Linked DNA regions of Callithrix jacchus. The main gene of each other region encodes a partner of the protein of the gene in region 2 in a complex. Links are inferred from orthologs where the notes say so. Each region holds a gene or a part of one and is shown on either strand. Other genes may lie near its edges.

Region 1 (3,395 bases), on a different chromosome or scaffold from region 2:
AGGCTACCTTCAAAATATTATAAACTGTAGAACCATTCTGATCTTCAAGTTTGGATTTGTAGAGAGTTTTCTGTATAAAGCATTAATATCTAATCATGAGTTTCCTTTAGTGTGAGCCTTTTTGCATTTGATGCTATTCTCTTTGCCAGGAATGCTTATCTTCCCTGGCTCATCACTTGGCTTGCTTCTTCAATGTCAGGTATTAGCTCATGCATCATTTCCTGAGAGGCTTTCCTTGATGTCCTACCTGAAGCATCCATCTGTTATTCTCCAGTACAGTACCCTGTTTATCTCCTTCAAAGACAAGATGATTAAGGATTAGTGTAATTGCTGTCTCAGCAAAGGCAGGAACTGTAGCTGTCTTGTTCACCTTTACCCAAAGACTAAGAAAGTTCCTGGTACAAACATGCGAACAATAAATATCTGTTGAACGAATAAAAAATTACTATACCAAATTTACATGAACACATACATATACACACAAATACAGGAAAATGGCGAGTATCCAATAGAAAACCACCAAATGTTGAAAGTATCGAAAATGATACCTGTAGAGACAGGTTGAGTATGATTTCAAAGAACAAGTACCAAAGATAGCTTCAAAAATATGAAAATTTATGAAAAGATGACCAGGAGTGGTTATTTTCCATTTCTACTAAGATGCAAACAAGAAGAAATGTTTAAACTGCAATGAGTCAACATTAGACATAATAATTATTTGCTGCAGAATGAACTACCAACAGAGTTTCGGAAATCTCCTCTCACTACAGAGTATGAAATATGGTCAACCACAAACTGAGGATCAGTTAAGAACAGCTCAGACTGCAGGTAACTTAAAAGCTAAAAAACTTGCTAAAGAAATGGCTTTTCCCCCCAGTTTTTAAAATTCTGAATTCATAATTACATGTAGAGTAACAATCAATTTACAAATTGAATACAACATACTTTAAAAACAGATGGCCCATATCTGCTGATCGTACCTCAGCATCACTTTTCTAGGTATTTTGCAGAAACAATTACATCTACAAAAGGTTCATTTCATAATACAATCTGGTAACTAAATCAAATGAAACTACTAGAAGACCAGAAGGTCTGCGGTTGAAATATTTTAAAATACCTTTTGAAAAAAGGGTATTTATAGATTAGCTTTTTAAAAAGGGAAAAATACGTGGAAGTAATTCTAGCATATCCCTGAAAATAATTATACTGCCACCTATGTATTTTTTTGTAGGTGGAAAGTTAAATCAACAGACTGCCAGGTTATACAAGCCAATTATTCCTGTCGAAAATTGGGTGTCAAAGGAACTTTCTCCATATGAATTCTTACTGTACCCCAGAATTAACTGGTGCCAGCAGTATCAGTGCAACTATTACTGGTGAAGATGTCATGCTATGCTATTTTGATTATCAGGACAAAAATGGGAATGGAGAAAAGAGGCTTGGAAAGATTTTCAGTATGGTTTCCTTATAATAAGATTTAGCAGTTAAAAAAAAACACACAAACACACACACAAAAAAAGAATGACTGTTTAAGCCCCACTGAACACATTAAGGATAAGGATTTCAAAAGTTAATCCACTTTTCTTCCCCCAAGAGTTTATTTTTGGTAAAAGGCAGAAAAATTAGTTTTTCTACAAGGAAAATCTGCATCTAAATAATTTGAAAATCTTGATATATATTATATATTAAAAAAGACACACAAAAATAACAGAGAAGTGGGAATAACAGATTAGGTACTGTAACTTTATAAAGGTTTGCCTAGATCAAGAAGCAGCGCACACACACACCTCATCTATGCAAACTAAAAATGTATATAAACAGCACAATACTGTGATACTGGATCATGATACATTACCTGTACACATAACTACTACTGTTATTAATAAACCTTTGGGACACTCAGTTTTATGCCCAATAAGACATCATTAAGTCTTTAAAATCTTCTCTTCCTCTTTTATGGGAGAGTATTTCTAGACACTAATTTTCCCATCTAATATTCAAATATAGGAAACAGATTCCACAAGGTGCTTTAATTGATGAGACCTCAAGTGCTGTTTTCTCTCTTGAACTTTTGGACAGTAAACAGTCCATGGAGACCACACACAATACTATGACAGAAGAGTTGTTACATTAAGTCTTTTGATGGAAATTGATTGGTGATGAAGCTTTATGACATGCTTGAGCAACGCACTGAAGGGGATCCCATCTGAGTTAATACTTTGTCCAACCACTGCAGAGGTCCATTCAGATGAAGTTCAATCCAGCAAGGAGTACTTGTTACCGTCTGCCTTCTGTTTAAAAGAATATAGGAAAATAATTATGAAATAAAGTCCACAAGCAGGAAAAATGGCTGTTTATGTACACTGCATTAAAAATTTACAGAAATTAAAAGGTTGAGTATATAATTTTGGACACGATTATTTTGAAAAATGGTTGATCCTCAGAGTCAAACAAAGTACTTCTGATGACCTTGTTTTAAAAGAGAAAAAGATGTTCTTGTAAATCACATCAAACTAAAATTAATAAGGTGATCTTACTATTCACCATCGTCCAAAACTGAACACCTGAGAGAAACTGTGGGTATTATTATTAATCAGGCCAGGGCTGAGTGCAGTGGCTCACACCTGTCATCTCAGCACTTTGGGAGGCTGAGGCAGGTAGATTATGAGGTCAAGAGATCAAGACCATCCTGGCTCACGTGGTGAAACCCAATCTCTGCCAAAAATATAAAAATTAGTTGGGGTGGTAGCGGGTGCCTGTAGTCCTAGCTACTCGGCAGGCTGAGGCAGGAGAATTGCTTGAACCCAGGAGGCAGATGTTGTAGTGGGCCAAGATCACACCACTGCAATCTAGCTTGGCGAGAGAGTGAGACTCTGTCCCAACACACAAATAAATAAAGCCAGAAGAAGAGACATGAATCAGGATTCTCCCAAGCAAACCAAGACATATATACGGTCACTGTACTCAACAAATCAACTACAGCATAGTAGATACTCAAATAATCAAATGGAGTCTAAATACAAGTATATCAAAACAAAAACAAAATCTTGGCCCAAGGTAAACCCTTACCACAGAGAGTGTTAAATGCTGGAGTTCAACTTTCCCTGACAAAGCCAATGAACATCCCTCTTAGCAACACCATTCGGGCTTTTAATAGTGCTTCAACAAAAGGGACAACTCTATGGGAATTACAAATTATTCAATGATATCCTGTCACTTCCATGCACTGATTTTAGTTCCACCTTATCTGCTACACAGAATAAGTCAATAAACCTACTTGCTTCTATAGACTAACAGCCCTTCAATTATAAGAAAAGCCCATTATCAACTGTTCATCTCCAAGCAACACAGGTTCAATATAATTTAAAACTGTACTTCCAAGAATGTCATTTTCT
Region 2 (3,002 bases):
GGGCTGAGCTTTAGTTGCTCAGGTCCCTAAGCAATGCCAGCCAGGCACCCCTGCAATCTGGGCTGGTCCTCATCAAGTGAGGGGGGGGTAGGGTATGCAGGCATAACCACTTCTCCATCCAACAGACCCACAGCTGACTGAACAGGGATGGGGATCAGGCAGGCCACACCCACAGCCCCAACACTGGTGGGGGACCCCATCTCCTCACCACCCACCCCAGGATCCCCTGTCCCACTTCAGGCACTGGAAGCTGTGTCTGCTCCCATCCCCCTCCCTGCAGGAGCCCCCTCCAGTCCCGGAGGGCCCTGTTGTCATGGTAACCACAGCTGCAGTGGGTGCTGGGCTGGACCCATGAACCTTCCAGAAGCACCTGAGATGCCAGGGAAGCAGGTATCAGGGTGCTGGGTGGCTGAACAGTGCCCACGTCCCTGAGAGCCAGCTGCTGGGACTCCCCCTGGCCCAGGGCAAGGGGGAGCCTCTTGAGGGTAAACGCATAGCTGGGACCCTTAGGATGGGGGATTGTGATCCCCTCCCAGTGACATGGTGCCCCCTATGCTTCCCTAAAGAGAAATGAGACATAAGAGAGCGGAGTAGTGGTTCTAGGTGTTTAATTGGGGTAAAAGGGTACTGCACGGTTGCTCAGAGGGCCCACTGCTGGGCCGCACGAGTGTTTGCTTTTGCAACTGAACAGAGGAGCGTGGCCTAACTAGAAACAACTCGGCCCTCGAGTCTGCCTCCAGGACCTGGGGAAGACACGGGGCGGCTCTGCTGACCAGGCCTTCTCTTTGGAACACCCCTCCCACCACACTGCCCTGGTTCTGGGCACCTTCCACCCCTGCTGAAGTCAATTCCTTAAGGGAGAGCCTGGCAGTCGCAGCCCCAACTGGGAATGGACGGGGAGTGGGGACTCTAGGGCCCCCAATCTGGAAGGGCCCCCTCCCAGCCATTTTGGGAACAATAAATACTGTTTGACGGTGGCAGGGAGTAGGGGGTTTGACCACTGGCCGGCAGGCAGTGGGGGAGCTGGCGGGCCCAGCCGCCCTGCCCCACCCAGAGGCCAGGCCTGGGCTCCCCACCCTCACTCTGTGCGGAGAATGATGTGGATGCCAGAATCCGTGAACACGGGCCCGCTCATCTCTCCCGTCCGCAGCGCAAATGAGGCATCTTCAAATGGCTTCTGCATCTGACCTGGGAGCCGGGAGGGATGGTGGGGTGTCAAGGCAGGGTTGTCAGAGGCCAGGATAAGGCAGGGCGGGTGGCAGCCACAATAGATGGGGCTCCTGACTGCGCTGAGCCTCACACTCGTCCACACTCATCCGTCACCATGTTTATTGCCGGTGCTGAGTGGTGGCCCAGCTGGGGGCGGCAGGGCCATTAAAGAGGCCCCAGGAAGCCCGAGGACAGCATGAAGGATGGCAGGCAGGGCTGCAGCCGCTGCTGCGCGTTTAGGGGTCGCTTCGGTAGTGAACTCATCTCCCTGGGCCTGGTTCCCAGCCCTGCCAGGTCATCTGTCCCACCAGCCTCCTCGGAGCAGGGGGGAAGCTGCTGGCCCCATTATGGACCCCCAACCCCCTCAGATGCATGCACCCCACACCCCAGCCTGGCCTCTCCCTGTTTGCAGACCCTGAGAAGGAAAAGGAGGATGCTTGGTCCTCTCTGCCCCTGATTTCCACTGTCCTGGCCAGACAGGCCTAAACTCAGGGCCACCTCCCCCCACCCAGAGGGATTCTGGGGAACATTCCCTGGGATTCTCAGGGAACCCAGCCTTAAACCCCCAAAGGAAGAGGCAGAGGACAGGACGCACCTGCCTTGGTGGGCCCGGGATAGAGACGATGCCAGGAAGAAAGCTCTGCAGCCCCCACCCTGTGTGGCCCCCGCCCTGCCCAGCAGAGCAGACTCTGAAGCCTGAGGAAGGGGCTGTGCTGCCACCTGCTGGACCCTGAAGGGCCATGTGGCACCCCGGATCCCAGTGCCCAGACCCTCCCAGCCTCTACCCCTTAGGGAGGAGAGGGTCCCCAGACCTGGTGAAGCCCATTCCTTGCGCACCTCTGCTGAAGGCGCCCAGGTCTCCCCTGGCCTTGGCTGAGCTGCAGTCGCTGAATTGTGAGGCCAGAGACTCAAAGTCCTCCTCTCCTGACTTGATCTTCTGGATGTAGCCTGCAGACATGGAATGGAATGGGAGTGCCAGGTCAGGGGCAGGGGCACCTGACCAAACGGGATGGAGGGCTCCAGAGCTGGGTGGGAGGGGGGCAGCACTTCACTTGGAAAACCTCCCCCTACAAGTGCACATGCGCCCCACAACCCTTCTCCTCACACACACTTGCACCCAGTCACACCTGTCCTCACCCAAGAAGATGCACCTTCATGTGCATCAGCACTTGGTGCACCCCACCAGTCATCCATGAGTCCTGCCACCCTGTGAGTCTCACACCCCTGCTCCCGCTGTCACTCTCACCATGTGCACGCACGCACGCGCGCGTGCACACACACGCGCGCGTGCACACACACACACACACACACACACACTTGAGGGAAAATCTATATCCAAGCTGGACAGGCCAGAGTGGGAGGCAGGGAGAGGCTGACCCAGGCAGGGGGCTGGGCCCCCGGGGTCCTCTGGGCAGAGGTAGGAGAGCTGTCCAGGGAGGGCCCAACACTGCCACAGCAGCCCTCCCATGCTGTTCCATCTGGGAAGAACAGCCTGGCACTGGGAAAGGCCTCCGAGGCACCCTGGTGGGCTTTGCAAGGGACACTCGAAGACTGTGGGTCCCAGGGTCCCAGAGGCAGGCGACAAAGCTCTTCTCCCAGCTTCCTACCTACAGTCTGCATGCTGGCAGAACTCAGGATGGCCCCTCCCTGTGTGGCCCAAACCAGCCCATCAGGTCTGAATCTCCAGGAGGAAGGGAAGGCCAGGGCTGGTGGAGGAAGGAGGAACAGGGCTGCCAGCAGAGGGGGCAAGATGGCAACACAGTAGCATCTGAGTGACTCGTTTTGACAGCCAA
Region 3 (3,748 bases), on a different chromosome or scaffold from region 2:
CGACAGGGATAGTTTAAGACAGACTCCAAACAAGCCTTCGGGTTGAATCCAACATTAAAGACATGTTACATTTGGTCCATAGTGTTTAAAATTTTTTAAATGCTACATTTAAAAGTCAGGAGATTCATCAAAATAGAGATAGCCAACAATCAGCTAGTGGCTGCTCCTTTCAGAGAAACAAACTCTATAGCTCAGTAGCCATTACCTTTCCTTCCTCCTCCTCTGCTCATTTATGTTACCTCAGGCCCCTGCAGGGTTTGAGTTTGCAACCCATTTTAAAGATTAAGAACACAATTAACGGTTGTGCTCAGAGAAAATGCTTATTAAGGCAGCTATTAACTAGTGAGCCAATGATAAGTTTGGTGCTGAGCCTGGAGTCCTACTACTTTATCATGCTCCTCCACTTTTCCCTTCACGGGCACTGGTTTGTGCACTACAGTGAAAGAAAAGCCCATGGAACGCCTATGGCCTAACCCAAACTGCCAGTGTTCCCACCATCATTCACCACAGGCTTCAGCTCTCCAACCCCCCAAAGAGCTGCACAGGCTGGCACAACCTCCCTCCCGCTCGCGGGAGCCTAGGCCAGGGAGTTGTTTATAAGACAAGCCGTTCGGAGCGGGGAAGCCAAGTATTTTTATATTACAAAGGTTGACTTACACACAGGGTAGTCAACTTCCTATTTCTATAAACCGAGCAGGGGCTACTAGGCCACCCAAAGTTCTAAACGCCGTGACAAAAAAATTTAAAAAGCCAAACTCTACAGCAACGTGCTCTGGGAATATAGCTCAGCTCCAAGCCAGTTCAATGGGGACAAGTAAAAGACCAGTGATGAGTCCCAAAAACAGAGTCCCCAGGGTTTTCCAACATTCCCGAGCTCTGCAAGCTTTTCTAACTGTGCAAAAAACCAATCAGGAAAACAATCACCAACTTGAGGTTTCCAAGATTAGGTTCTGTTTGAATTTTTTATTTTTTAACCCACGTGGGTACCTAGACTGAAAGGGAACACGAGCCTCAGGGTGCAAACTGTCCTCAGCAGATACTCTTGGCGCTGGCAAGGGACAGCCCCGTCACCTGAAGGGCAGCCAAGAGGCGGGCGGTGCACCTGTGCCTTCCACAATAGGAACCCCACCCACTTGCCCCTCGTCCCCATCAACCACGCAGCCCAGTGGTTGACTCAGGTGCCAGGAGACAGTGCAGGGAGGCAGGGCGGTAGCCAGGGAGACCAAGGGAAGCAGTTGCCAGAGAAATAGGGCGTCAGTCAGGGCCGGGCAGCAGGCGCGGGGCGGGGGAGGAGGGACGCCGCCTCCTCCCGGGCCAACCTGGCCCGAGGCAATCCGGCTTCTAAGGGCGGATTCCGCTCCCGACTCTTCCCCACGGGAGGAACCCTAGCTGACAGCACGGTGCAAGGGGCCAAGCCTGCAGGGAGCAAAGTGCCACCGAGAAATCAAGCGCGCGCCCACGAAGGCGCCCGAAAGCCCAGGAGCCCGCCTGGCTTTTCTCGGTCGGGTCCCGGGGCCAGCGGGGCCGCTCACGGGGCCTCTGGCCTCCCGGGGCCCCCTAGGAATGAGGCAGCAAAGCCTCGGTCGACTCGACCGCACAGGAACCCACGAGAGAAGCAGCAGCCCCGGGGAATGACGCCGGCTGGGACACCCCAAGGTGAGAGCCCCTTTGTGGGTGAGTCCCCACAACTCCCGGGTGACTCCAGGCGGGCACAGGCCCGCCCAACCAGTTCGTCAAGGGAAGCGGCCCGTCCAGCGCCCCAGCCGCTGCTCCACCAAACCTGAGGCCGGACCTGAGTCTGGAGACCTGGCCTCCTCCGGCACTGAGAAGAATGACCAGAACGCCGAGACCACATGCACCCGCTCGCCAGGCCGCAGGGTCTGCACAGCACAGCCCGACTCGGGCTCCGACCTCTCCCCGTGTGCGCCACCTCCACGGCCTGCACGCCTACCCCTCTCCCACCCACGACCCCAGAGCCCACCTCAAAGCCGACAGCCCCTTGGGTCTCGCGGACGCGAAGCCCCGCCAGTTTTCCGCCCTCGCGCCCCACTACTCCGCCAGCCTCGCCTCAGGACTCCCGCGCCAAGCGAAGGTGTGAAGCCACGTGACCTTCCCGGGCTTGGGAAGCCGCACGAGGGGCTTGATCCCTCCGCCTTAAAGGGGCCGAGGCCGCCGCCGTCGTGGGGCGCTCCACACAGCGCGAGGTCTATGGCGTCAGCAGCCCCGCCCCGTCCCGCCCCACCCCACCCGGCTTCCCCCTCGCCCCACGGCGGGTGCGAAAGAGACCCACAGCGGGACGTGAGCTTCCAGCGCTAGCGGCTTCGGGTGCGACGGCAGGGTGAGAAAGAAGTGTTCTGGGCCCCAGGGCTCCTTTCTGTCCGGTCAGCTCCCGTCTGGACAGACGCTCGAGGCCACCCGGAGGCTGCAGTGCGGCTCCGAGGCCCCACCGGCCACCCCCGCAAGGCTGCGGCGCCTTTAAGCCCAAAGGCCCTGAGTCACGAGGAGGCTCCCTGCCCCCCTCACCCTCCACCCCTCCACGAGGCCCCACGCCCGCGGGCACGTGACCTCGCCCCGCCCGGAACTCGCGCACGGGGCGGGGGATGGGGTACCGTTGCGCCGGACCCGGCTGCGCACGGACCGTTAGCTACTGCGGCCGGGACGCGGCCCCGCCCAGGCGAGCGGCGGGCGGCTCTTACCAGCGGGAACGCCATGGGGCCGGTGTGGCCTTGCGGGGCTGAGGAGCTGGCTGGCCGGCCGGCCGGCGGGCGAGACACGCGCACGCACGTGGGCACTGTTTTTGCAGCGAGCCGCACGCAGCCCCGCACCCGAGCAGCTTATGAAGCTCCACCGAGCCGCTCCTCGGAGCCGCCCCCCGGCCAGATGCGGAGCACCTGTGTCGGCCCCGCCCGGGCCCTCGCCTCCGCCCCCGCGCGCCCCGCCTCTCCCTGCAGGCCGGGCCGAGGAGTGCTCCGCAGACCACCCGCACGCCGGCGGAAACTGCCGCTGCTGCTGGCCACAGCCGCCCCCTGAGGGACCCTGAGCGCGCCACTCACCTAAGTGACCCTGGCCGAGTCGTTTGCCCTGAACCTCAGATTACCCCCTTACGAAAGAGGGCACGATTTACAAGCCCCTGCGAGCGGCGGGATCTCTTTGTCAGTACCGCCGCGTATCCGCGCTCCTCCTCTTCCAGTGATCTCTCCAGGGCGAGAGCCAGCCCTGCAGCCCCTGTCCAAACCATAGCACCCGGGCTCCAGGAGGCGCACTTACTTTAGACTCACTGCTCCGTGCGCTGCAGAGGGGGCCGTGGGAGTCAGGACATTCCAGAAAGTTCCAAAGACATCACTGGCCCTCTTTGGACAGGAGTTCCCCGGGTAAACACTCCCGACGGACCGAAATAGAAAGTTTCACAAAAATAGGACAAGGGACAGGGCGAGGGCTCCAGGGCAGGCGTCCTGGGGCAACTGGAGCAGGGGCGGACCGGAAGCCCTAGGCAAGCGCAGAGGCGGAGATGGCATTCCAGGCGGGAGACCAAGCAAAGGCAGAGGGAGAGGACTGCACAGACGGCTCACTCTGACGGGGACTGAGGATGATGCGGGCTGATACCGCCGGAGGGAAGCCTGGGCAGGGTTTGTAAAAGGCCTTTATTCTGTAGACAACAGGAAACTTAAAAATTGTAAAAGGGGTTGGCAATTGTCAGGTCTGTTTTAAGGTATTACTGGAGACTTAGAAGAGGTTGGACAGGCCAGGT

What was found.
Region 1: the proteins of PIN1 (region 2) and SMAD2 are in contact, whole or in part, in an NMR structure (PDB 2LB3), measured with the Homo sapiens proteins. The link is inferred for Callithrix jacchus from reciprocal best matches to the Homo sapiens genes PIN1 and SMAD2. Residues at the interface, in NP_006212.1 of Homo sapiens: Glu12, Arg14, Met15, Ser16, Arg17, Ser18, Tyr23, Phe25, Trp34; in NP_001003652.1 of Homo sapiens: Pro218, Glu219, Thr220, Pro221, Pro222, Gly224.
Region 3: the proteins of PIN1 (region 2) and CPEB1 are in contact, whole or in part, in an NMR structure (PDB 2N1O), measured with the Homo sapiens proteins. The link is inferred for Callithrix jacchus from reciprocal best matches to the Homo sapiens genes PIN1 and CPEB1. Residues at the interface, in NP_006212.1 of Homo sapiens: Arg17, Tyr23, Ser32, Gln33, Trp34, Glu35; in NP_001352172.1 of Homo sapiens: Arg206, Ile207, Ser208, Pro209, Pro210, Leu211, Pro212, Phe213.

What each region holds. Positions count from the first base shown.
Region 1 is NC_133514.1:90,930,273-90,933,667, forward strand, and holds the end of SMAD2 (mothers against decapentaplegic homolog 2), read right to left. Parts: intron 2,292-3,395; coding exon 2,168-2,291; 3' UTR 595-2,167; downstream 1-594. UniProt on the Homo sapiens protein: Receptor-regulated SMAD (R-SMAD) that is an intracellular signal transducer and transcriptional modulator activated by TGF-beta (transforming growth factor) and activin type 1 receptor kinases.
Region 2 is NC_133523.1:9,042,764-9,045,765, reverse strand, and holds the end of PIN1 (peptidyl-prolyl cis-trans isomerase NIMA-interacting 1), read right to left. Parts: intron 2,158-3,002; coding exon 2,047-2,157; coding exon of another isoform or gene 2,022-2,046; intron 1,189-2,021; coding exon 1,079-1,188; 3' UTR 592-1,078; downstream 1-591. UniProt on the Homo sapiens protein: Peptidyl-prolyl cis/trans isomerase (PPIase) that binds to and isomerizes specific phosphorylated Ser/Thr-Pro (pSer/Thr-Pro) motifs.
Region 3 is NC_133507.1:23,935,694-23,939,441, forward strand, and holds the start of CPEB1 (cytoplasmic polyadenylation element-binding protein 1), read right to left. Parts: upstream 2,500-3,748; 5' UTR 2,291-2,499; exon of another isoform or gene 1,257-2,290; intron 1-1,256. Other genes in the region: uncharacterized protein LOC144576600, read left to right, coding at 2,710-3,030.